Linked DNA regions of Saccharomyces cerevisiae S288C. The main gene of each other region encodes a partner of the protein of the gene in region 4 in a complex. Each region holds a gene or a part of one and is shown on either strand. Other genes may lie near its edges. The genes, in order: RPC31, RPC34, RPC53 and RPC82. A codon is read from its position in the direction of its gene.

Region 1 (4,604 bases), on a different chromosome or scaffold from region 4:
GTGATGAGAAGTGGTATGCTTAGTATTGCTCATACTGGACAAATACGAAAGGAATCAGTAAATAATTAAGATTGTAGAGGGAGGGGTGTATGTGTATGCGGATACTTTTTTGATTTGGCAGAAGGAAAATTGGTATTGGCAGCTGTACAGTGACTCCCCTTATACAAATGATCTCAGTTTGTTTCGTTTTTCCTCATTCTCTGGCTTTAGACTTCAAATCGCGGTGTAAAAAAAATAGGACAAAACTATGTAGCGCATACTATGTCAGTCAGGTATTGAGAATATGTAAAGAAATGCCATACCGTGATTTGATTTTGTTTTCAACTGTAAGGAAGGGAGTTTATATGAGATTATATTATTAAACCTATTTTTGCATATATAGTACATCAGAACCTTCGGCGGAACTTAAAGAGACCAAAATAGTACCTCTTATGACGGTCAAACCTAGCTTTCTTGCGTTTTTAGAAATCAGTTCAGTGTTGTTTTCATCATCAGGATTAGACATATATTCTACTGTATCATCAAGTACCAAGTTCATCAGTTGATCATAGCCTTTTAGGACACCTATAACTAATTTACCACCCATTAATTTGACGCGAATTTTAGAATCTTTATACTTCGCTAAATCCAGAATAGCTTCTCTTTTAGGGCCTTCGAATTTTTTCCTTTGCTGTTGTGGTTTGTTCTCTGATTTCTTAGTTCAAAAAGGAAACATAGTTATTATAATGTTAGTATAAATAAGTCAAAAGGAAGGTTATTGCCACGGAAGAAAATAAGAAGTGAAACATACGGAGTGTTGCTGATGCATGTTTTTTTGGTTAATGTTCTGTGTAGTAAACAAAGTGCTGCTCTCAAATAACTTTCTTTTTTACTGTAGTAGTATACACGTACATGCGTATTCTTAATTGTCGTTTCCCAGTTGTCTGTTTTCAGCTACAGCTTTTTTCGCCTTTGTTCGAAAGAACAGTACTTTTTTCCGGCTCGCAGGGAAACGGCAGTTGAAGAAGACAAGCGACAAGAACATAGAGCAACGAATTCAAATAAAGAGATAGAAAAAAAAATTACATGGCAAAACTATGGTTAGAGTTGTCATAGAGAGTGAATTGGTCCGTACAGAAAAGGAATTACCAAATTCGCTTAAATTAAGGCAGTTCAAGGACCGATTGTACCATGTTACCGGAGTGGAACCAGAGGATATGGAAATAGTTGTGAAAAGACAGTACGACAACAAGGAGATATATAGTACTAAAAAGGGGGGTGCCTATTCAAATGAGGATGAAGATGCCAACTTCCTAAAAGGAGAGGAGGAGCTTATTGTGGTTGTTACAGACTCTAATGCCCAATCAATCTCTAACCAGCTGGCCACGCAAGCGGAAGGAATCCCCTCAATGGAAGTAATTAGCGAGGAGGATTATTTGCGAAGGGATCAATCCGTATTACGATGGAAGATGGCTCACGGCTATGGTAGGTTTAATGCTGCACAGCAGAGCCAGCGCGCTGCGCTGGCAAAGCAGGACGAAGCATATGCCCGAGAGCAATTAACGGCGGCTATCGGCCGCCACTGTCGTGTCACAGTAGACGGGAGCGCTCCACGTGAGGCCATTTTACGGTACGTAGGACCACTACCGTTGGACGTGATGGGCACATGGTGCGGTGTGGAATTCCCGGAAGCCGCAGGCAAAAACGATGGGCGCATAAATGGGGTAACACTGTTTGGGCCTGTGGCGCCGGGTCACGGATCGTTTGTGCGTCCGCGGGCTGTGGAAATTCTATCAAAAGACGAAGAATCCGCCGAGGTGGAAGACGTCCATGATGACGTGGAGAGCGATGATGAAATTTGAATTTGTGCAGAATTAGCGCGGTGGCGGTTTAGTTAGTGATCTCCATCCGATGTCAACATATTATTATTTGTAGTTGTATTTATGTGCACTCGGCGGTTTGTATGAGGAAAAGATGTTATGAAGAGAAAAACTGCCGAGTAATTGAAAGAGATGTCTGAAGTAGCGGAAACATGGGTGGATACCTGGATGGCAAAACTAGTCAACTATGACTACAAGCACTTTATAAGATTGGTGATAATTGTAGGTGGTTATTTACTCTTAAGAAATATCGCATCCAGGGAATTGGCGAAGAAGCAGTTGGCTGCCCAAGTGGAAAAGGACAAACGAGACAAAGAGGAAAAGAGATCAAAAGACCTGATCGACAAGCCAGATGATGCTGCAACAGCAGAAACAACTTCTTTCGGTTGGGGTAAGAAAACTAGAAGAAGAGTTAAAAGACAACAGGAGTTGTTTGAAAACGCTTTGGAAGAGGCTAAGAGAAGAAACCAAGGGTTGGACCCAGATAGTGATGCTGATATTGAGGAACTACTGGAAGAATAGGCTCTCTGTGTATGTATGGGTTCCTCTTTGTCATTGTGACATTGTTTTGTTTTTAGTTTTTCTATAGTTTTCTGATAAAATAGTCTAACCATTACCGATGTTGCTACTTGCATCATTCTCAACGTCTAATCAACTTGCGTTTGCGTCTCAAATTGAGTTTGTAGGTTACGTGTCGCCTTAATAGTCAGCAAATGCCGACGTTTGTGAGACGGATAACGACTGCGATGATTCCCATTCCGCATGAATGATGCAATTCACAATTCAAACACGATATCAAACGACTAAGCCGTGAATTAACGGCTAGAATGCAAAAGAAAATGGGTAAGAATTGATTTATGTAGATACGGCAAGACGATACTTTCCTTAAACAGCCGAGAAACGAAAAGGTTTAAAGAGATGTACTGTGACGTAGAAGAGAAAGGATTACGCAGCAATGGCTTGTCCAAATTTCGTAGTCTAGCCAATTGAAAATATAAATTATTTTCAATACTAATGGGCGGCTTTCGAACAAATGTCACATTGCAGAGGTGATCGTTCAAAGTAATTAGCAGTCATGAACGAGATCTTCTTTTCTCTTATGAAGAAAAAGGCTGATGGTCGACAAGAAAAATCTCAATACAATGGCTACCATTCCACAAAGAAGTGCCTCGCTAGGTGTAACTCAATGAACTGAAATTGCTTTCGTCAGTGGTTTCAACTCTTGTGCGGCCGCATGAAAAATGAAGAGAAATTTGAAAAAATCTCAAAGAAGAAAATAGTTTCCTCATCGCAGCAACCTATAGAAAACAACACGACAGAAAGATATTGTAACTTGATAGTACCGAGCATATATACCCCGAACAAACATGAGTTCTTATAGGGGCGGCAGTAGAGGTGGCGGGAGCAACTATATGAGCAATCTACCCTTCGGATTAGGTTATGGAGATGTAGGCAAAAATCATATTACGGAATTTCCATCCATCCCATTGCCCATCAATGGTCCTATAACAAATAAGGAAAGATCTTTAGCAGTAAAGTACATCAATTTTGGAAAGACTGTTAAAGATGGCCCATTTTATACCGGATCAATGAGCTTGATAATAGATCAACAGGAAAACAGCAAGAGCGGTAAACGCAAACCCAACATAATCCTAGACGAAGACGATACTAATGATGGCATTGAAAGATATTCCGATAAATATTTGAAAAAAAGGAAAATAGGTATTTCTATTGATGATCATCCGTATAATTTGAACCTCTTTCCCAATGAATTGTACAATGTAATGGGGATCAACAAGAAAAAATTATTGGCAATCTCCAAGTTTAATAATGCCGATGATGTTTTTACTGGTACAGGTTTACAAGATGAAAACATCGGACTATCCATGCTGGCAAAGTTAAAGGAGTTGGCAGAAGATGTGGATGATGCGTCGACGGGTGATGGGGCAGCAAAAGGAAGTAAAACAGGCGAAGGAGAAGATGATGATTTGGCGGATGATGATTTCGAAGAAGATGAAGACGAAGAAGATGATGATGATTATAATGCTGAAAAGTATTTCAACAATGGTGACGATGATGATTACGGTGATGAAGAGGATCCAAATGAAGAGGCCGCCTTTTAGTTGAAAATTTATACCGCTTTACCATATTTTTGGATATTCTTCAAAGCAGAATTTGTACAATTAGCATTTTTCTTTATGGTTTAGATCGGCGGTGAGGGCGCAACAGATTTATGTATACATATTGAAATAATAAAATTTAAAAAAGAAAAAATCTTGGTAAACATTAAAAATCTTAATTCTATTTAAATATTAGTATTACAATAACAGCATGTTTCTCTTGTCATTAGCTGAGCCTTGGAGGTGGTCTTTTTCTTGTAGGAGACATCGAATTCTTCCTCGAATTAAAATTGGAATTCGAAGTAGTCGGTAGAGGTGGTAGTTTTGGAGAATTCAGGCCTGATGGATGAGGATGTGAGTTAGGCGAAGAGGAATCTAGGCGTGAGGGTCTATCTCTTCTTACTAACGGCGTATTGCGCGAACTTGAATAATTGGACATATCATCTCTGGTCGGTATAGGAGGTAAGGGCGGTTGGTTATAGTTGTGGGAGACTCTATGGCTGGAAGAATAAAATGCGTCATTTTCGTCGTCATCGTCATCATCTTCGTCGTAAGACAACGAAGTTACACCAATAGCCTTTTGAAGTGCCTCAATATCTACCTTGTTAGATTCATTTTGGCAGTT
Region 2 (4,672 bases), on a different chromosome or scaffold from region 4:
GAAGAGTGCCCATCCTAGGAGGTAAAACCCTAGCGCATTTCCAAGGTCGGATTCCTTGTCCTTATAGGCATCTAGAATTCCAAACCAAGGGATGTATATAGCACCGAAGCTTAACCAAAAACCGCCGAAGGAACACAGGGCTGTACCACCGAAAGTGTTCTCTAAAGCGATTTCCCAAATACCAGCAATGAGTTGAACGAGGCCACCGTAAAACATGGCACACCCAACAACAACATTAGGGATAGTGATGCCTTGGGCTCTTGCATTGAACATGGATAGGACAAACGTAGTGAGGGCAAAACCGGAAAGTCCTAGTGGAGCAGGATTTGCGAATTTATGGACTGGCGCGGGGGCTAAACCGGGATTCAGAGTACCACCGAATGCCTCGAACAAATCATCCCTTAAAAATTTTTGACGGCCGATGTAAATATACTCGTTGTTTTTGCCCGCAGTATATATTTTGCATATGGACTCTTGCGAGTGGCGGCTCTGATCGTTGTTTTCAGAGATGAACTCACCCTCGGAAGAATCGAGTGCCTTAGGGTTCTCAAAAGCGGTGTTGCCGCTGCTTTGTTCTCTGTCAGACATGCCTTTTATTTTTTTCTGTGATTGAAGATTGTTTTTGATTGATCTGTAGAATGTTACATAGTTAGTTATGGCTATTCTAGCTCTAGGTAGGACAGTTCTCCTGCTTTATATATTTTGCTTGTTCAAAGATGATCACGGCTGTTCTCGGAGTGCGTAACTGCTTGAGAGTTAAATCCGTCGAAGTTGCTGATCATTTCCAGAAATGAGGAGACTGTTGATGATCTACTGTGAAATTATTGCGGGGCTGGTAGCATCTACTGTCACTATTATTGCCATGTCGGCTGGTATCGGAGTTCTCCCTCCGCCGATTTAGGATGGAGCCGTTCCAGCCGCGTCCGCTCTTAAGCGTCCGTAATTGGTCAACAAAGCATTTCAGCCGTGGTGATTGGAAGGAAGGTCAGCTTTCCTGTATTGCGTCTCTATCTACTTACAATACGAATGATACATTGAATTACGTACTAGTGTGAGATAGGGGTAGTCAAGAACTTCAAATTGTCCATTCATCGAAATAGACCACTTCCTTGTCGTGTTTTGAAGCCGGAAACATCTTGAAGTAGTTAAAGATGGAAAATTCTTCTTCATCCTCCAAAGCCTTATTACCTGCCTCCGGCTCGCCCTCACCTTGGTTCATTTGTAGAATGCTCTCTAAGGTCACTCTATAGCAGTCATGCGTGACTTTTTCCAGCTTGTCGTCGTACACTAAGACTTCACACAAAGATCTGATATTTGAAGGGGTTAACTCGACATTGGCCACTTGTGCCGCTGTAATAAATTCCAAAATTTCTTGTGTGGTAGAGTAATTTTTTACGTTTGGAGCATAAAAGACGTTTTTTTTGGGTCCATTTTCGAAATTCTTGAAGCCATTAGGGAAGGTGTTCTCTGATATGAACCTCCAAACAATAGTCAATAAACTATTGATAAATTCTATATCCAGCTCTCCATCTGTGAACCATGGACCTCCTGTGATGTCCACAGAGGGTTGTAAGCTGTACAACATGTAGATTTTCCTTGTGGGAAACTTTACACTCTTAACACTCTTCACGTATCTTTGGGATTCTAAACTCTTCAAGCATTTAAGAACTACATGCTGATGGAGATTGGTTCTTGCCTTGATAGTCTTGGACCATATCCCTTCTCTACCGCTAGCCTCGATATAAGAATATACCAGTGCCTCTTCAGCCGACATGGTGGCTTTCTTTTGCGCCTCAGATTCTAAGACACCTTGAAATTTTAATTCGTCGTTTTGTTTTACTAATTTGATCAAGTTCTTGTCTAGCAATTCCTGTACAATGGACATCAAGTCTGTTAACGACCCGATTCCCATTTGTTTTTGGAGTTCTTGCTGTGTAAATAATGCGCCTATTCCTTTCGACATCATCTGGCTATGTAAGGTTTTAGCATTGTCCGATAGCTGTAACCCATTTTCTATCATTCCACTCATATTCAGGATATTGGCGCTGTAAATTCTTCACTTGATTAAGATTTTCTGTAATGATCTCATCTCACAAATACATCGCAAATCAACTTGAAAATTTTTAATACAATAAAAGATTTGAAGGAAAAAAAAAGTGCCTGTGCGCGATGTTACTTAAAAACAAAAAGATTAAATAATTGCAATATCATCTAGTTGGATTCTAAATATACTACCAAACAAGGGCTTAAACATTTTAATAAACGATTTACATATTTACTGTGGGTATGGCAATGGGTGAGCGTAGGTATGCTACGGTAGGCGATGTAGTGAGTAGTGCGGACGAACCGTAGCCGTAACGTTTAATGCCCCCTGCCTTTTCTTCTCAATTGCTCACATGTAAGCAAAGTCTTCCAAGAATCTGGTTTTACTCGTAGCCTTTTAACGCTGTTTTTTTTTTTTGCACACCTTTAAAACCTATAGAAACTCCTTCATATAAAATGTACTAGTTATAAGATGACTTTTTATATTCAAAATTAGAAGAAAACTTAACTAAAATTAAAAAAATAGCGGCTATTAAAAGGTATTAAAAAGTGAGAAAAAAAGAAAAAAATTATAAACTTGAGAAATCAAAGGAGACTAAATGCATAAGCAAAGAGAAGAGGATCTCCTCGGATGATAGATTTATACAATTACTCTAACTTAGAAGGTTTACTAGACGGATTAACGGACTTGAATCGAATTCCGAAGGAATACTCCGCAGTATTGGAGCCATATTTTCAGAATATAGCAAGAAATGCACATTTAAAGTCTAGAGCTCTAAAAATTTGTCGTTCTAATTTCCATAAATGGAACGAAGAAGGTGCGAAGACAGTCAATCCGGAAATTATAAGAAGATGCCTTAACCTGTGGTATGTTTTGAAGGGCAAGGAATATAAAAAGTTGAAGGATCCTCCGCCTGCTGATAATATCATTAAGGATGAGATTGATGTCTCATATGTTAAGAATTTGAATGTAGTCAGGTTGGAATTTGACGAATTTGGTAAACTCATAAGTAATCCATTAGAGAATTTGATCTTGGAAGAGGTCGAAGTGAATGATTTCATACAAGAATAAACCTAAAGTGTGTTCACTCATCTAATATGCACGGAGCCTACCTTTTAGCTTTTGCTGCCAAACTAAACCAAGATTGAAAGATATATAATCGACTATCTTTCGTCTCGTAATCTGTATCATGCAATTTAAATTAATTATCAACATAAAATGCTCTAGTTAGCACGCGCATATCCAGGAAAGTTCACCAGTAACTATGTACTAGACAAAAGCAAACTGTTCGGAGCGACCATACACCATATGTTGTTGAATCAACTTTTCTTAAGGCTCTTTCGAGTTCATCATTAACCAACCTAGGTATTTTCCCGATTTTTTGGTAATATGTCAAAACAGCTACTTTGTATACATTTATAGACGCCTGGTGTCCTTTGAGCCTCACTTATATAAAGTAACCTTCACAAGATTTTGGATTTTGGTAATACATACGCTACTGCTATTTCTTGCGGAGCAGCAGAATCATCTTGCTCGGCCTCCTTTTCTGAAAATTTCGATGATACCTGAAATAATCATCATTAGCAGAGGGAATTTAAAAATAGAGGGTGTAAAATTATCAAGATTTTTTTTTGCTAAGGTGAATGAGTAGTGAGTAAAGAACTAAGAACAGTATGTCCGTTAGCACGCCAAGTGAGTTAGACGCATTAATAGAACAAGCCACTAGTGAGAGCATTCCCAACGGTGACCTTGATCTCCCCATAGCGTTGGAAATTTCAGATGTGTTAAGATCTAGAAGGGTAAATCCCAAAGATTCTATGCGTTGTATAAAGAAAAGGATTCTCAATACGGCCGATAATCCAAATACCCAATTGTCTTCCTGGAAGCTTACCAATATATGTGTAAAAAATGGTGGAACGCCTTTTATTAAGGAAATTTGTTCCAGAGAGTTCATGGATACCATGGAACATGTCATTTTAAGAGAAGATAGCAACGAAGAACTTTCTGAGCTGGTAAAGACCATATTATATGAACTATACGTAGCCTTCAAAAATGATTCGCAACTTAACTATGTGGCAAAAGTTTATGATAAATTAATCTCTCGTGGCATTAAATTCCCTGAAAAGCTAACACTTTCCAATTCTCCGACTGCAATGTTTGACTCGAAGACGCCCGCAGATTGGATTGATTCTGATGCTTGTATGATTTGCTCCAAAAAGTTTTCTCTACTAAATAGGAAACATCACTGTCGTTCCTGTGGTGGAGTTTTCTGCCAAGAACACTCATCAAATAGTATACCCTTACCTGATTTGGGTATATATGAGCCAGTCAGAGTATGTGATAGCTGCTTTGAAGATTACGATTTGAAGAGACATGACGACAGTAAAAAATCTAAAAAACATCGCCATAAAAGAAAGAAGGACAGGGACTACTCAACTCCTGAGGATGAAGAAGAGCTGATAAGGAAAGCAATAGAACTCTCCTTGAAAGAATCTAGAAATAGCGCTAGTAGCGAGCCTATTGTCCCCGTTGTAGAATCAAAGAATGAGGTGAAGAGACAAGAAATAGAAGAAGAAGAAGATCCTGATTTAAAAGCTGCTATTCAGGAAAGCTTGAGAGAAGCTGAAG
Region 3 (5,017 bases), on a different chromosome or scaffold from region 4:
AGCATTCTTATGAGCCTCTTTACGAGATATTTTCTTGTCTTGTTTACCTCTCTGAACCTGTTGATAATAATCGTTCTCGCCTTGAGTGTTGATGCTCCTAGACACAGCTTCATCTTCAGAACCGTAATCCTTATCGTCTAGGTCAGCACCATTATTATCATGCATACCACGTTTACGAGCTTCATCCAACAGACGTTGCTGCCTTTCAAATAAACGTTCCTTATATGGAATATCATCATCACCTTTGAATCTATCCGTCTTTTTATTTTCTTGTTGATCAATTTTCGAAGTATAGAAACGCAAAGTTCTTCTACGAGCTTTTTTGTCTTGTGCGTCCACATCAGCAATCTCAGATTCAATGAAATCATCAGCTTCAGGCATTGATGATGTTTTCGGTTTAGAATGCAGACGTGATTGTGCTACGTACTCTTCAAAATCGTCAATATCAACATCTTCTTCTTCTTCTTCTTCATCGCTTTCTCTTTCTTCTTCATCAATTTCTTGCTTTTGTTTTCCTCCATCCTCTGCATCAGAATCTTCACTGTTTTGCAACTCATTCAGCTTCTTTTCGTTAAAGGCCTCAATGTTTGCGGTTTCTTCACTTTCAGAACCATCTCCTTCATTCACATCAAAACTAGATGGCAATTCGCTGGCTTGCCTCCAAATCTCTTTTGTCGTTAAAATCTTTTCCATGACCGGATGTCCCTTCATAGATGTGAAATCTTCATTATTATGGAGTTCGTGCAACAAGATACTATAGTAACATGATATTGTGCCTAGGTAACTTCCAAGTGCAATTAGCTTTAATTTATTGAACTCATTTTCCTCAGATTTCTTTAATTCGTCAAACTTTGGAGCTAATTCTGTGAATTCTTTTGAAAGTGGAGCAAATTCAGGAAACATTGTCCTTAAATAGTTATCCCTTGCTTCGTCATCCATATTTAGAATATCCGTTATGGAAGTTTTAGTATCAGCCTGCTTGGTCGAGTTCTTAAATTCACCCATGTCAAATTCTTTGGCACTTTTGACCCACTCTTCTTCTTCTTCTTCATCTAAGTAATCGTTCATATTAAGTTCTTCCAGATGCTTCTTTTGTTGTCGTAAAGCTTCCTTTTCTATTTCCTTAGCAGCTTCGTCATCATCTAAATCATCAGCCCCATAATATTCTCCTTTTGTGGACCCCCAGGCATTCTCGTTGTCTAACATACCATTCTCTTCATCTTCCTCAGGAAGCTGGTCAGTTTCTAAGTTTCTACCAAATATTTTCTTATAGGCTGCAGCACCATCTAGTTCCTCTTCCTCTTCTTCTTCCTCATCTTCTCTTTCATCTATTGACTCATCATCTTCATCCATGGCTAAGACTTCTTCCTCATCTTCGTCTTCTAACAGAGAATGGTCATCATCTTTATTACTGTCGCCAAAGGTGGATTGTCCAAGTAAAACCTTTTCCCTTTTAGAAGCAAAATCATCAACTTCGTTTAAACCATACGGATTAATCTCATCCCCAACTTCAGAGGTCTTAGTTCTGTTTGAGCCTTTGCGTACCATATTATTCTATACACCCACTCTAATATGTTTTCTCTTCCTCCAAAACTTTTTGTATAAAAGCATCAGTGAGATGAGCTATGATGAGATGAGCTTCATTATTGAATTTTTTTTCATTGCAGAAGCGCAGTTTGAAAATTTTTCATCCGCCCTGCAAAGTCCAATTTTTTGATCAGCAGAAGATAATGACCAGAGAATTATGGTATTCAAGAGAACAATTCAAAAGAGGACAGCTAGAAAGATATTGAGGTATTTATAATTTGCTAGACTAACCGAAAGTCGAAGCGTAATCTTGTTTTTTATTAAGCGGGATAGCATTCATTAAGTATGAGCAGTAATAAAGGAAATGGGCGCTTGCCATCATTAAAAGATTCCTCCTCCAATGGAGGAGGATCTGCCAAGCCCTCATTAAAGTTTAAACCAAAAGCAGTTGCAAGAAAGTCCAAGGAAGAAAGAGAAGCAGCTGCGTCCAAAGTAAAGCTAGAGGAGGAATCTAAGAGAGGTAATGACAAGAAACATTTCAATAACAAGAATAAAAGAGTAACCGGCGCTGGCGGCCAGCAAAGGCGAATGGCCAAATACTTAAATAACACACACGTTATCTCTAGCGGTCCATTGGCGGCTGGGAACTTTGTAAGTGAGAAGGGTGATTTGAGAAGAGGATTCATCAAATCAGAAGGAAGCGGGTCATCTCTTGTGCAAAAGGGCCTGGAAACTATTGACAATGGTGCTGAGAGCTCTGAGAATGAGGCAGAAGACGATGATAATGAAGGTGTAGCGTCCAAATCTAAGAAGAAGTTCAATATGGGAAAAGAATTCGAGGCACGCAATCTCATAGAGGACGAAGATGACGGCGAAAGTGAAAAGAGCAGTGACGTCGACATGGATGACGAAGAATGGAGATCTAAACGGATTGAACAGTTATTCCCTGTGAGACCTGTCCGCGTAAGACACGAAGACGTTGAAACTGTCAAAAGAGAAATACAAGAAGCTCTTTCAGAAAAGCCAACTCGTGAACCAACCCCCAGTGTGAAGACAGAGCCTGTCGGAACCGGATTACAATCTTATTTGGAAGAAAGAGAAAGGCAAGTCAATGAGAAACTGGCAGATCTTGGACTTGAAAAGGAGTTTCAATCGGTTGATGGGAAAGAAGCGGCCGCTGAGTTGGAATTATTAAATGCAGATCATCAGCATATATTACGAAAACTAAAGAAAATGAATAATAAACCAGAAAGATTCATGGTATTCCAGTTACCTACTAGGTTACCAGCTTTTGAAAGACCCGCTGTGAAAGAAGAAAAAGAAGACATGGAAACCCAGGCTAGCGACCCTTCAAAGAAGAAGAAGAATATTAAAAAGAAGGACACGAAGGATGCTTTGTCTACTAGAGAACTTGCCGGCAAGGTTGGGTCTATACGGGTTCACAAATCTGGAAAACTTTCCGTGAAAATTGGAAATGTGGTGATGGATATTGGCAAAGGTGCCGAAACCACATTTTTACAAGATGTTATAGCATTAAGTATCGCTGATGATGCATCCTCAGCGGAACTTCTAGGCCGTGTGGACGGTAAAATAGTAGTCACACCTCAAATCTAATCGCACTCGCATCTGTCGAGTATATAAATGAATATACACAGTCATAAATACTTCTAGAACAAATTACACTAATTAAGATGCTTAGATTCCCATTCAAAAGGTACTATTGACGTCTTGTCTTCTACAATTTCTCATCCTCTTTGAACATTGGTAATGTTATTCTAGTTATTGTTACCCAGTTTCGGAACTTTAGGGGAGCCACACTTTAAACAAAAAGAAGCGCCATAACCACCGTGAAGTAATGAGTATCTCACTTTGATAAGAAGACATTTAAGAACAGCCTGAAATATCAAAATCACGGAATTATTAGGTTATGGAGAGAGATGAATACCAGTTACCCAACTCTCATGGGAAGAATACTTTCTTATCGCGAATATTTGGTTTACAATCGGATGAAGTTAATCCTTCTCTTAATAGCCAGGAGATGAGCAACTTCCCTTTACCAGACATAGAGAGAGGCTCATCTTTATTGCATTCTACTAACGACAGCCGCGAAGATGTAGATGAGAATGACTTACGTGTTCCTGAGTCTGACCAAGGCACTAGTACAGAAGAAGAGGATGAAGTAGATGAAGAGCAAGTCCAGGCGTATGCTCCACAGATTAGTGATGGATTGGATGGAGACCACCAGCTAAATTCTGTAACGAGCAAAGAAAATGTACTTGAAACGGAAAAAAGCAATTTAGAAAGACTGGTTGAAGGCTCTACCGATGATTCTGTGCCCAAAGTCGGACAGCTTTCGTCAGAAGAAGAAGAGGATAATGAGTTCATAAATAATGATGGATTTGATGACGATACGCCCCTTTTTCAAAAAAGCAAGATTCATGAATTTAGCTCTAAGAAAAGCAATACTATAGAGGACGGTAAACGACCTTTGTTTTTCAGGCATATCTTACAGAATAACCGCCCTCAACGTGATACCCAAAAGCTATTTACTTCGTCGAACGCCATTCACCATGATAAGGACAAGAGTGCAAATAATGGTCCCCGTAACATTAATGGTAATCAAAAGCATGGCACTAAATACTTTGGTAGTGCTACACAACCTCGGTTTACCGGTTCGCCCTTAAATAATACAAACAGGTTCACTAAATTGTTTCCATTAAGAAAGCCAAATTTACTGAGCAATATATCCGTTTTAAACAATACCCCGGAAGATAGAATCAATACGTTGAGCGTGAAAGAGCGGGCTCTGTGGAAATGGGCAAACGTAGAAAACCTCGATATATTTCTTCAAGATGTTTACAATTATTATCTGGGAAATGGGTTCTATTGCATCATACTGGAAAAAATATTGAATATATGCACTTTGCTTTTTGTTGTTTTTGTTTCTACATATATGGGTCACTGTGTTGACTACTCCAAATTACCGACTAGTCACCGGGTTTCGGATATTATTATCGACAAGTGTTATTCTAATAGTATAACGGGGTTCACAAAGTTTTTCCTTTGGATGTTTTATTTCTTCGTGATTCTCAAAATTGTTCAACTCTACTTTGATGTTCAAAAATTATCAGAATTACAAAACTTTTACAAGTATCTTTTAAATATATCGGATGACGAACTTCAAACTTTGCCCTGGCAAAATGTGATACAGCAGCTAATGTACTTGAAGGATCAAAACGCTATGACGGCAAATGTTGTGGAAGTCAAAGCCAAGAATAGAATCGACGCGCATGACGTTGCCAATAGAATCATGAGAAGAGAAAACTATCTCATAGCACTTTACAATAGCGACATCCTGAATTTATCCTTGCCTATTCCATTATTTAGGACCAACGTTCTGACAAAAACACTAGAATGGAATATTAATTTATGCGTCATGGGCTTTGTGTTCAACGAGTCCGGATTTATTAAACAAAGTATTTTAAAACCT
Region 4 (5,816 bases):
AGACCCCTCGTCCTAGAGCAGCCCAGGCCCAAAGAATTGGCAAAGAGGACTTCACCAGGTGTCATGGCGCTTGCAGCGCCTCCAGCGGCCATTCCAGCAACAATCTGCGAAACCCACATAACGACACATCTTGTAGGAGAGACGGCTCTCGCCAAGCACAGCGAAAGCGACATAGCAGGATTCAAAGCCCCACCAGAGACACCGGCAAAACACCAGATAGAAAACATGACGGAAAATCCGAAACCGATGGCAATCATAATCAATTGACCCGGATGGGAACCGTCAGGCGCTGCAACGAGTGCGACATCATGGTTAGCGACATTGCAGATAACGTAAGCGCACCATAAAAACATGAATGTGCCGCAGAACTCACCGACCGCAGCGATAAAGTGGTCTCTCAGGGTGTCCCTAGAGATTTTAAAGCGATGGTGCTTTGTTTCCGGCTGCTCCGGAGGGATGTAGGCGTCGTCCACACCGGTAGGATCCAGACGTGTATGTTGCTTGTCGGTATCGTTCGAATCGTTCGAAGACATGTTATAGTTAATTACATGTTACTTTATGTGCCGTATTGACAGACAGCACCAAATACAAAGAATAAAAAAAGAGAAGGAAAAAAAAAACAAAATATCAAAAGGACAAGACGAATTGTGGGAATCGACACTCGGAAGAACAGACAGAATGCGATGCAGGGAAAAGCACTGCGCTTAATATACCTCGAATTCAAACGGCATATCACACAATTTCCGACGTAAAATATTTTTCCTTCTTTCTTTTCCTTGTCGCGTATATGCTATCCTGCAATTTACCACTTCTAGACTAATCCTACTGTGTAAGAGGGTGGAAGGACATCAGGCATAAGGAAGTCTATACGAATAAACTTTTCTTCTTTCTAATTCTTGTAAGATTAAGCTTTGAGGGATAAACGACGGCAATAATGAGTTTAAGGCAAGCTTATCGAAGTAATATAAAACGGTGGCCGATGCAGATATTCACTTGGAAAAAAATTAGGGGACGCGTGGGGAGGGCCGGCTTTCATGGCATCCCGATTTACCGTGCAGGAAACAACCTCGCACCCTCGGGGCATGACCACCTAACGGAGGAGATTCTGTGCGGGCATTTCTTGGGGTATTTATCGTCGACAACCGGCGTTGTTAGGACGGGAGAAAGTATGTTTTAAGTTTGCATTCCTGAGAGGATAAGACGATATCAATTAGTACTACATTCTCCCTTTGTCATTCGGCATGGCGGCGTCCATATCGGCAGTTGCTATGTATCTTACGTAAGTCTGCGTTTTATGTATAGACCTTTTAGTGCTTTTAAGTATCTATATCTGGAAATCGTGGTTCCGTCATGCCCATACTAGCTGGGAGATCTCCGCCTACGGTGCTTTTGCGGTGATGTTCGGCGGAGTGCATCGCGCATAAGCAAACAACCGTTTATTTCAGCCTTGCGTGCTTGAAAATACAGGACCGTTAAATATGTAGATATGTACGCAGAGGCGTGTAAGCCACACAGCATTGTTGTTGCGTAAAAATGAGGGTGAATCGCCTCCTCAAATTACATGCCTTTCTTTTTTTGCCAGGATCGTGAGATGAGACATAAAATAACGTACCACTGAAACTTGACAGAATTGAGGGGTCTAACTATAAACCTGCGGCAAAAGAAGGATTGTATGCTGAAGTAGAAAAAAGGATAATTAAATATATATTTACTAGTATAGTAAGAATTTGGAAAGGGTAAGGAATAAATAATGAGGGATTTTTTTTTGGTCTTACATGTTGTTATTTGAATTTTGTTTGTTTTTATTTTCAATATTTGTGTGAATATTCATTAAAAAAAAGGTGCGCGGCAACATCTATATATATATTTGCCTTTAGTTTTTCGTTTTGTACAAATACTTTCCTCTTACAATTCGTCCAAATATGGCAAGTTGGAAACATCACCGACGGCTACATAGTTGAATTTTCCCAACTTAAAGTCCTTCACGGCGTCAAAATTTAGTTCAATTGGGCTGGAAACAGATTCATTTTGGACGGCATTCTTTAACTTTGTGTAATTTATTGCAGGGGATAAGTCCTTGCCCTTCTTCAAATCCGCAACAATTTTCTTGATGTTGGAAGATACCACGGCGCTGTCCTGGTCTCTTACAAACAGAGTAAATAGGCCGCCGTCAGTGAATTTATCAAGTTTAGCCGAGCTGATTAAACCGGAAAGCTCGGATAGGGCAGAGGTCAAATAGTTGGCCAATACTTCATATTGAGCTAGGGAGGCTTTGTTTACCGGGATACCAATGGCGGCAACGGAGTCACCGATAAACCTTACCCTGTTTTCTTCACCCAAAAAGAATTTTGGTTCGGATTTACTCACCAATGACTTACCTGCAGGCAAAGTGCTTAACAGTGACTCGTCAACAAATCTTTTCAAATCGGCCTCAACAACATTTTCACCGCTAACTTCAAGGTTCTCCTTGGTATAGACTTTGTCCGCAAAGTCCTTGATATCTTGCAAACTGACTCTTTCCACACCATCGTATAACAATGGGTTTCCTAAACCCTTTCTGAATGTAATGGCATACAATTGGTCTTCGGCGCTCTTTACCGGACATTGTTCAGCGACCGCATAATCGTATCTAGCAGCAGGCAAAACAGATTCGGTGAGCTCGTGAGGTTTGAAGGCAGTCTTGTATAGCACGTCTGCTAGGGCATTGACGTAGTAGGGAAGGTCGTCCTTCAAAAAGGTAGCTTTCAAAGTGATGTATTCCCTATCCAAGGTAGACTTAAAAGTTCCCCCTAATAATTCGGATTCTCTGACTAATTTCAAAGCTGATCTAGTGTTCGTGTTTTGAAAGTTGAATCTGTTTAAAAGATGGGCCACACCATCCTTGGTTGCATAACGAGACCCTCCATGGACCTTAACAGCCAATGTAGATATTTTAGTAGGTGCGTCTCTAGCGGAAACGGTCAACCTTCTAACTGACCCCTGGGCAAATTGCAATCTAGCTGCTGACAACATCAACGTTCTTCTTTTTTCCTTTTAATAATTTTAACTCTCCCGTCCTAATCGTTCGAGCACACTGCTGTTAAAAACCTTATTAACTTCTAAAACTTCGTCAGCAAACGCTCTGAGGAAAGGCCCTTGTTCTTTATATATATATTTGGTAGGCTAACGGATATAAGACGGGGCGGGCCTTCTATTGGTTCGTTGGGAATGATCAGAAATTTTTCAAAAGCTCATCGCATTGAAGGAAAAAAATAATTTTGGATCAAAATAATAATAGTGGAAGAAATATTGAGAACAATAGAGAATTGCTGACACAGGAATAGGGAAAAATTTTTGTTGAGCAAGATCCAAATGGACGAGTTACTGGGAGAAGCGCTTAGTGCAGAGAACCAAACAGGTGAGAGCACTGTCGAATCTGAGAAGTTGGTCACCCCCGAAGATGTTATGACCATATCATCCTTGGAACAGAGAACCTTGAATCCCGATTTGTTTCTTTACAAAGAGTTGGTGAAGGCACATCTGGGTGAAAGAGCAGCTTCTGTAATTGGGATGTTGGTTGCGCTGGGCAGATTGAGTGTGCGCGAGTTAGTGGAGAAAATAGATGGTATGGATGTAGACAGCGTCAAGACGACACTAGTCTCATTAACTCAATTAAGGTGTGTTAAGTACCTGCAAGAAACAGCAATATCCGGGAAAAAAACGACTTATTATTACTATAACGAGGAAGGGATACACATTTTACTCTACTCAGGGTTGATTATTGACGAAATTATTACGCAAATGCGTGTAAACGACGAAGAGGAGCATAAACAGCTGGTGGCTGAAATTGTACAAAACGTTATATCATTAGGGTCCTTAACAGTGGAAGATTATCTAAGTAGTGTCACGTCAGATTCCATGAAGTACACCATTTCATCACTATTCGTGCAACTGTGTGAAATGGGATATCTTATTCAAATATCAAAATTGCATTATACCCCAATCGAAGATCTCTGGCAATTTTTATATGAAAAACATTACAAAAATATTCCCAGAAACTCCCCGTTGTCCGATTTGAAGAAAAGATCCCAAGCCAAGATGAATGCGAAAACTGATTTTGCCAAAATCATAAATAAACCAAATGAGCTTTCACAAATCTTAACGGTTGATCCAAAGACCTCATTGAGGATTGTTAAACCTACAGTCTCTCTGACGATTAATTTGGATAGATTTATGAAAGGTAGAAGATCTAAACAATTGATTAACTTGGCCAAGACAAGAGTCGGCTCCGTCACAGCTCAAGTTTACAAAATTGCATTAAGACTCACAGAGCAAAAGTCTCCTAAAATTAGAGATCCACTAACTCAAACTGGGCTTTTACAAGATTTGGAGGAAGCAAAATCGTTTCAAGACGAAGCCGAACTTGTTGAGGAGAAGACACCAGGGCTTACCTTTAATGCTATTGACTTGGCAAGACATCTCCCCGCAGAATTGGACTTGCGTGGAAGCTTATTATCTAGAAAGCCCTCTGACAATAAAAAGCGTTCTGGCTCAAACGCTGCTGCATCATTACCCAGTAAAAAATTAAAAACCGAAGATGGATTTGTGATCCCGGCGCTACCTGCTGCTGTTTCCAAATCTCTTCAAGAAAGTGGAGATACACAAGAAGAAGACGAAGAGGAGGAGGATTTGGATGCAGACACTGAGGATCCTCACTCAGCTTCTTTGATAAATAGTCATTTAAAAATCCTAGCATCATCAAATTTCCCCTTTTTGAACGAAACCAAACCAGGTGTTTACTATGTTCCATATAGCAAACTAATGCCAGTATTAAAGTCATCTGTTTATGAGTATGTTATCGCGTCTACGTTGGGACCCTCAGCAATGCGTTTAAGCCGTTGTATTCGTGATAACAAGCTGGTGTCTGAGAAAATTATCAACTCAACTGCGTTAATGAAGGAAAAGGATATAAGATCTACATTAGCATCTTTAATTAGATACAATTCTGTGGAAATCCAGGAAGTTCCAAGAACAGCCGATAGATCAGCATCAAGGGCAGTTTTTTTGTTTAGATGCAAAGAAACGCATTCCTATAATTTCATGAGACAAAACTTGGAATGGAATATGGCAAATTTACTTTTTAAAAAGGAGAAATTAAAGCAAGAAAACTCTACATTATTAAAAAAGGCAAATAGAGATGATGTTAAAGGAAGAGAGAACGAACTACTATTACCAAGCGAATTGAATCAATTAAAGATGGTCAATGAAAGAGAGCTAAATGTTTTCGCTCGTTTATCGAGGTTGCTATCGCTTTGGGAAGTTTTCCAAATGGCATGATTACTCTATACAGCTGATAAACTCTGTCTAATAACCTTTTATACTCTATAGAAAAGATAAAATTTATTACTAATGTTACATTAAGGTTTGATTGACTATCTCGAATCCAAATTTTTAGAAACATTCGTTTAGCGCCTTCACTGCAGTAACGTTCCAAGGGCACAAAAACATACCTCTTTGTATGCTTCTCAAATTCTTACTCTCACAATATAGTTTACTCATCTCCTCCGCAGTAACTTTATTTTGTCCATTAGAAGCTATTCTTCGTTGAATATTCTTATCTAATCTCTCCCAAACCTTGAGGTTATTAGGGAAAAAGTACGCACTCCTTTGCCATACTTGTTTACCGGTATCGTTACGATAAAGTCTCTTAGTAATTTCTTCTATCAGATATGGTGCGTCTTTGTGCTTATCTATTATTTGTTTGGATAATGGCAAAGCTTTCAATTCTTCTAAAATAATGCTTAAATCTTCACGCTTATCGTCTAGAATTGACATAG

What was found.
Region 1: the proteins of RPC82 (region 4) and RPC31 are in contact, whole or in part, in a cryo-EM structure (PDB 7Z31), measured with the Saccharomyces cerevisiae proteins. Residues at the interface, in NP_015516.1 of Saccharomyces cerevisiae: Leu25 (codon at 3,424), Val26 (codon at 3,427), Ile34 (codon at 3,451), Ser35 (codon at 3,454), Lys54 (codon at 3,511), Ala55 (codon at 3,514), His56 (codon at 3,517), Leu57 (codon at 3,520), Gly58 (codon at 3,523), Glu59 (codon at 3,526), Arg60 (codon at 3,529), Ala61 (codon at 3,532), Asp89 (codon at 3,616), Lys92 (codon at 3,625), Thr93 (codon at 3,628), Thr94 (codon at 3,631), Leu95 (codon at 3,634), Val96 (codon at 3,637), Ser97 (codon at 3,640), Thr99 (codon at 3,646), Gln100 (codon at 3,649), Leu101 (codon at 3,652), Tyr106 (codon at 3,667), Gln108 (codon at 3,673), Thr118 (codon at 3,703), Tyr120 (codon at 3,709), Leu130 (codon at 3,739), Leu131 (codon at 3,742), Tyr132 (codon at 3,745), Ser133 (codon at 3,748); in NP_014248.3 of Saccharomyces cerevisiae: His32 (codon at 3,320), Glu35 (codon at 3,329), Ile39 (codon at 3,341), Leu41 (codon at 3,347), Pro42 (codon at 3,350), Ile43 (codon at 3,353), Asn44 (codon at 3,356), Gly45 (codon at 3,359), Pro46 (codon at 3,362), Ile47 (codon at 3,365), Glu51 (codon at 3,377), Arg52 (codon at 3,380), Leu54 (codon at 3,386), Ala55 (codon at 3,389), Lys57 (codon at 3,395), Tyr58 (codon at 3,398), Ile59 (codon at 3,401), Asn60 (codon at 3,404), Phe61 (codon at 3,407), Gly62 (codon at 3,410), Lys63 (codon at 3,413), Thr64 (codon at 3,416), Val65 (codon at 3,419), Lys66 (codon at 3,422), Phe70 (codon at 3,434), Tyr71 (codon at 3,437), Thr72 (codon at 3,440), Gly73 (codon at 3,443), Ser74 (codon at 3,446), Met75 (codon at 3,449).
Region 2: the proteins of RPC82 (region 4) and RPC34 are in contact, whole or in part, in a cryo-EM structure (PDB 7Z0H), measured with the Saccharomyces cerevisiae proteins. Residues at the interface, in NP_015516.1 of Saccharomyces cerevisiae: Ser35 (codon at 3,454), Arg40 (codon at 3,469), Asn298 (codon at 4,243), Leu299 (codon at 4,246), Thr302 (codon at 4,255), Arg303 (codon at 4,258), Val304 (codon at 4,261), Gly305 (codon at 4,264), Ser306 (codon at 4,267), Val307 (codon at 4,270), Thr308 (codon at 4,273), Gly378 (codon at 4,483), Ser379 (codon at 4,486), Leu380 (codon at 4,489), Leu381 (codon at 4,492), Ser382 (codon at 4,495), Arg383 (codon at 4,498), Lys384 (codon at 4,501), Ser455 (codon at 4,714), Lys458 (codon at 4,723), Ile459 (codon at 4,726), Asn464 (codon at 4,741), Ser490 (codon at 4,819), Val491 (codon at 4,822), Tyr494 (codon at 4,831), Val495 (codon at 4,834), Ala497 (codon at 4,840), Ser498 (codon at 4,843), Thr499 (codon at 4,846), Pro502 (codon at 4,855); in NP_014400.1 of Saccharomyces cerevisiae: Trp164 (codon at 1,540), Leu170 (codon at 1,522), Ile172 (codon at 1,516), Ile175 (codon at 1,507), Asn176 (codon at 1,504), Leu179 (codon at 1,495), Asn189 (codon at 1,465), Pro192 (codon at 1,456), Pro202 (codon at 1,426), Lys203 (codon at 1,423), Lys204 (codon at 1,420), Asn205 (codon at 1,417), Val206 (codon at 1,414), Phe207 (codon at 1,411), Tyr208 (codon at 1,408), Ala209 (codon at 1,405), Pro210 (codon at 1,402), Val212 (codon at 1,396), Glu245 (codon at 1,297), Val246 (codon at 1,294), Val248 (codon at 1,288), Tyr249 (codon at 1,285), Asp250 (codon at 1,282), Asp251 (codon at 1,279), Glu254 (codon at 1,270), Val256 (codon at 1,264), Thr264 (codon at 1,240), Leu265 (codon at 1,237), Ile268 (codon at 1,228), Leu269 (codon at 1,225).
Region 3: RPC82 (region 4) and RPC53 share a complex: the UniProt entries of both Saccharomyces cerevisiae proteins name them as parts of the RNA polymerase III (Pol III) complex.

What each region holds. Positions count from the first base shown.
Region 1 is NC_001146.8:347,144-351,747, reverse strand, and holds RPC31 (DNA-directed RNA polymerase III subunit C31), read left to right. Parts: upstream 1-3,226; coding exon 3,227-3,982; downstream 3,983-4,604. Other genes in the region: YNL146W (uncharacterized protein), read right to left, coding at 1-33; YNL146C-A (uncharacterized protein), read left to right, coding at 168-362; Sm-like protein LSM7, read right to left, coding at 365-694, 791-808; ALF1 (Alf1p), read left to right, coding at 1,077-1,841; PGA2 (Pga2p), read left to right, coding at 1,992-2,381; INN1 (Inn1p), read right to left, coding at 4,206-4,604. UniProt on the Saccharomyces cerevisiae protein: DNA-dependent RNA polymerase catalyzes the transcription of DNA into RNA using the four ribonucleoside triphosphates as substrates. Specific peripheric component of RNA polymerase III which synthesizes small RNAs, such as 5S rRNA and tRNAs.
Region 2 is NC_001146.8:633,269-637,940, forward strand, and holds RPC34 (DNA-directed RNA polymerase III subunit C34), read right to left. Parts: upstream 2,030-4,672; coding exon 1,076-2,029; downstream 1-1,075. Other genes in the region: putative ammonium permease ATO2, read right to left, coding at 1-588; SWM2 (Swm2p), read left to right, coding at 2,675-3,115; ESCRT-0 subunit protein VPS27, read left to right, coding at 3,718-4,672. UniProt on the Saccharomyces cerevisiae protein: DNA-dependent RNA polymerase catalyzes the transcription of DNA into RNA using the four ribonucleoside triphosphates as substrates. Specific peripheric component of RNA polymerase III which synthesizes small RNAs, such as 5S rRNA and tRNAs.
Region 3 is NC_001136.10:181,471-186,487, forward strand, and holds RPC53 (DNA-directed RNA polymerase III subunit C53), read left to right. Parts: upstream 1-1,872; coding exon 1,873-3,141; downstream 3,142-5,017. Other genes in the region: rRNA-processing protein SAS10, read right to left, coding at 1-1,548; autophagy protein ATG9, read left to right, coding at 3,455-5,017. UniProt on the Saccharomyces cerevisiae protein: DNA-dependent RNA polymerase catalyzes the transcription of DNA into RNA using the four ribonucleoside triphosphates as substrates. Specific peripheric component of RNA polymerase III which synthesizes small RNAs, such as 5S rRNA and tRNAs.
Region 4 is NC_001148.4:916,577-922,392, reverse strand, and holds RPC82 (DNA-directed RNA polymerase III subunit C82), read left to right. Parts: upstream 1-3,351; coding exon 3,352-5,316; downstream 5,317-5,816. Other genes in the region: AQY1 (Aqy1p), read right to left, coding at 1-533; QCR2 (ubiquinol--cytochrome-c reductase subunit 2), read right to left, coding at 1,906-3,012; SKI complex subunit tetratricopeptide repeat protein SKI3, read right to left, coding at 5,431-5,816. UniProt on the Saccharomyces cerevisiae protein: DNA-dependent RNA polymerase catalyzes the transcription of DNA into RNA using the four ribonucleoside triphosphates as substrates. Specific core component of RNA polymerase III which synthesizes small RNAs, such as 5S rRNA and tRNAs.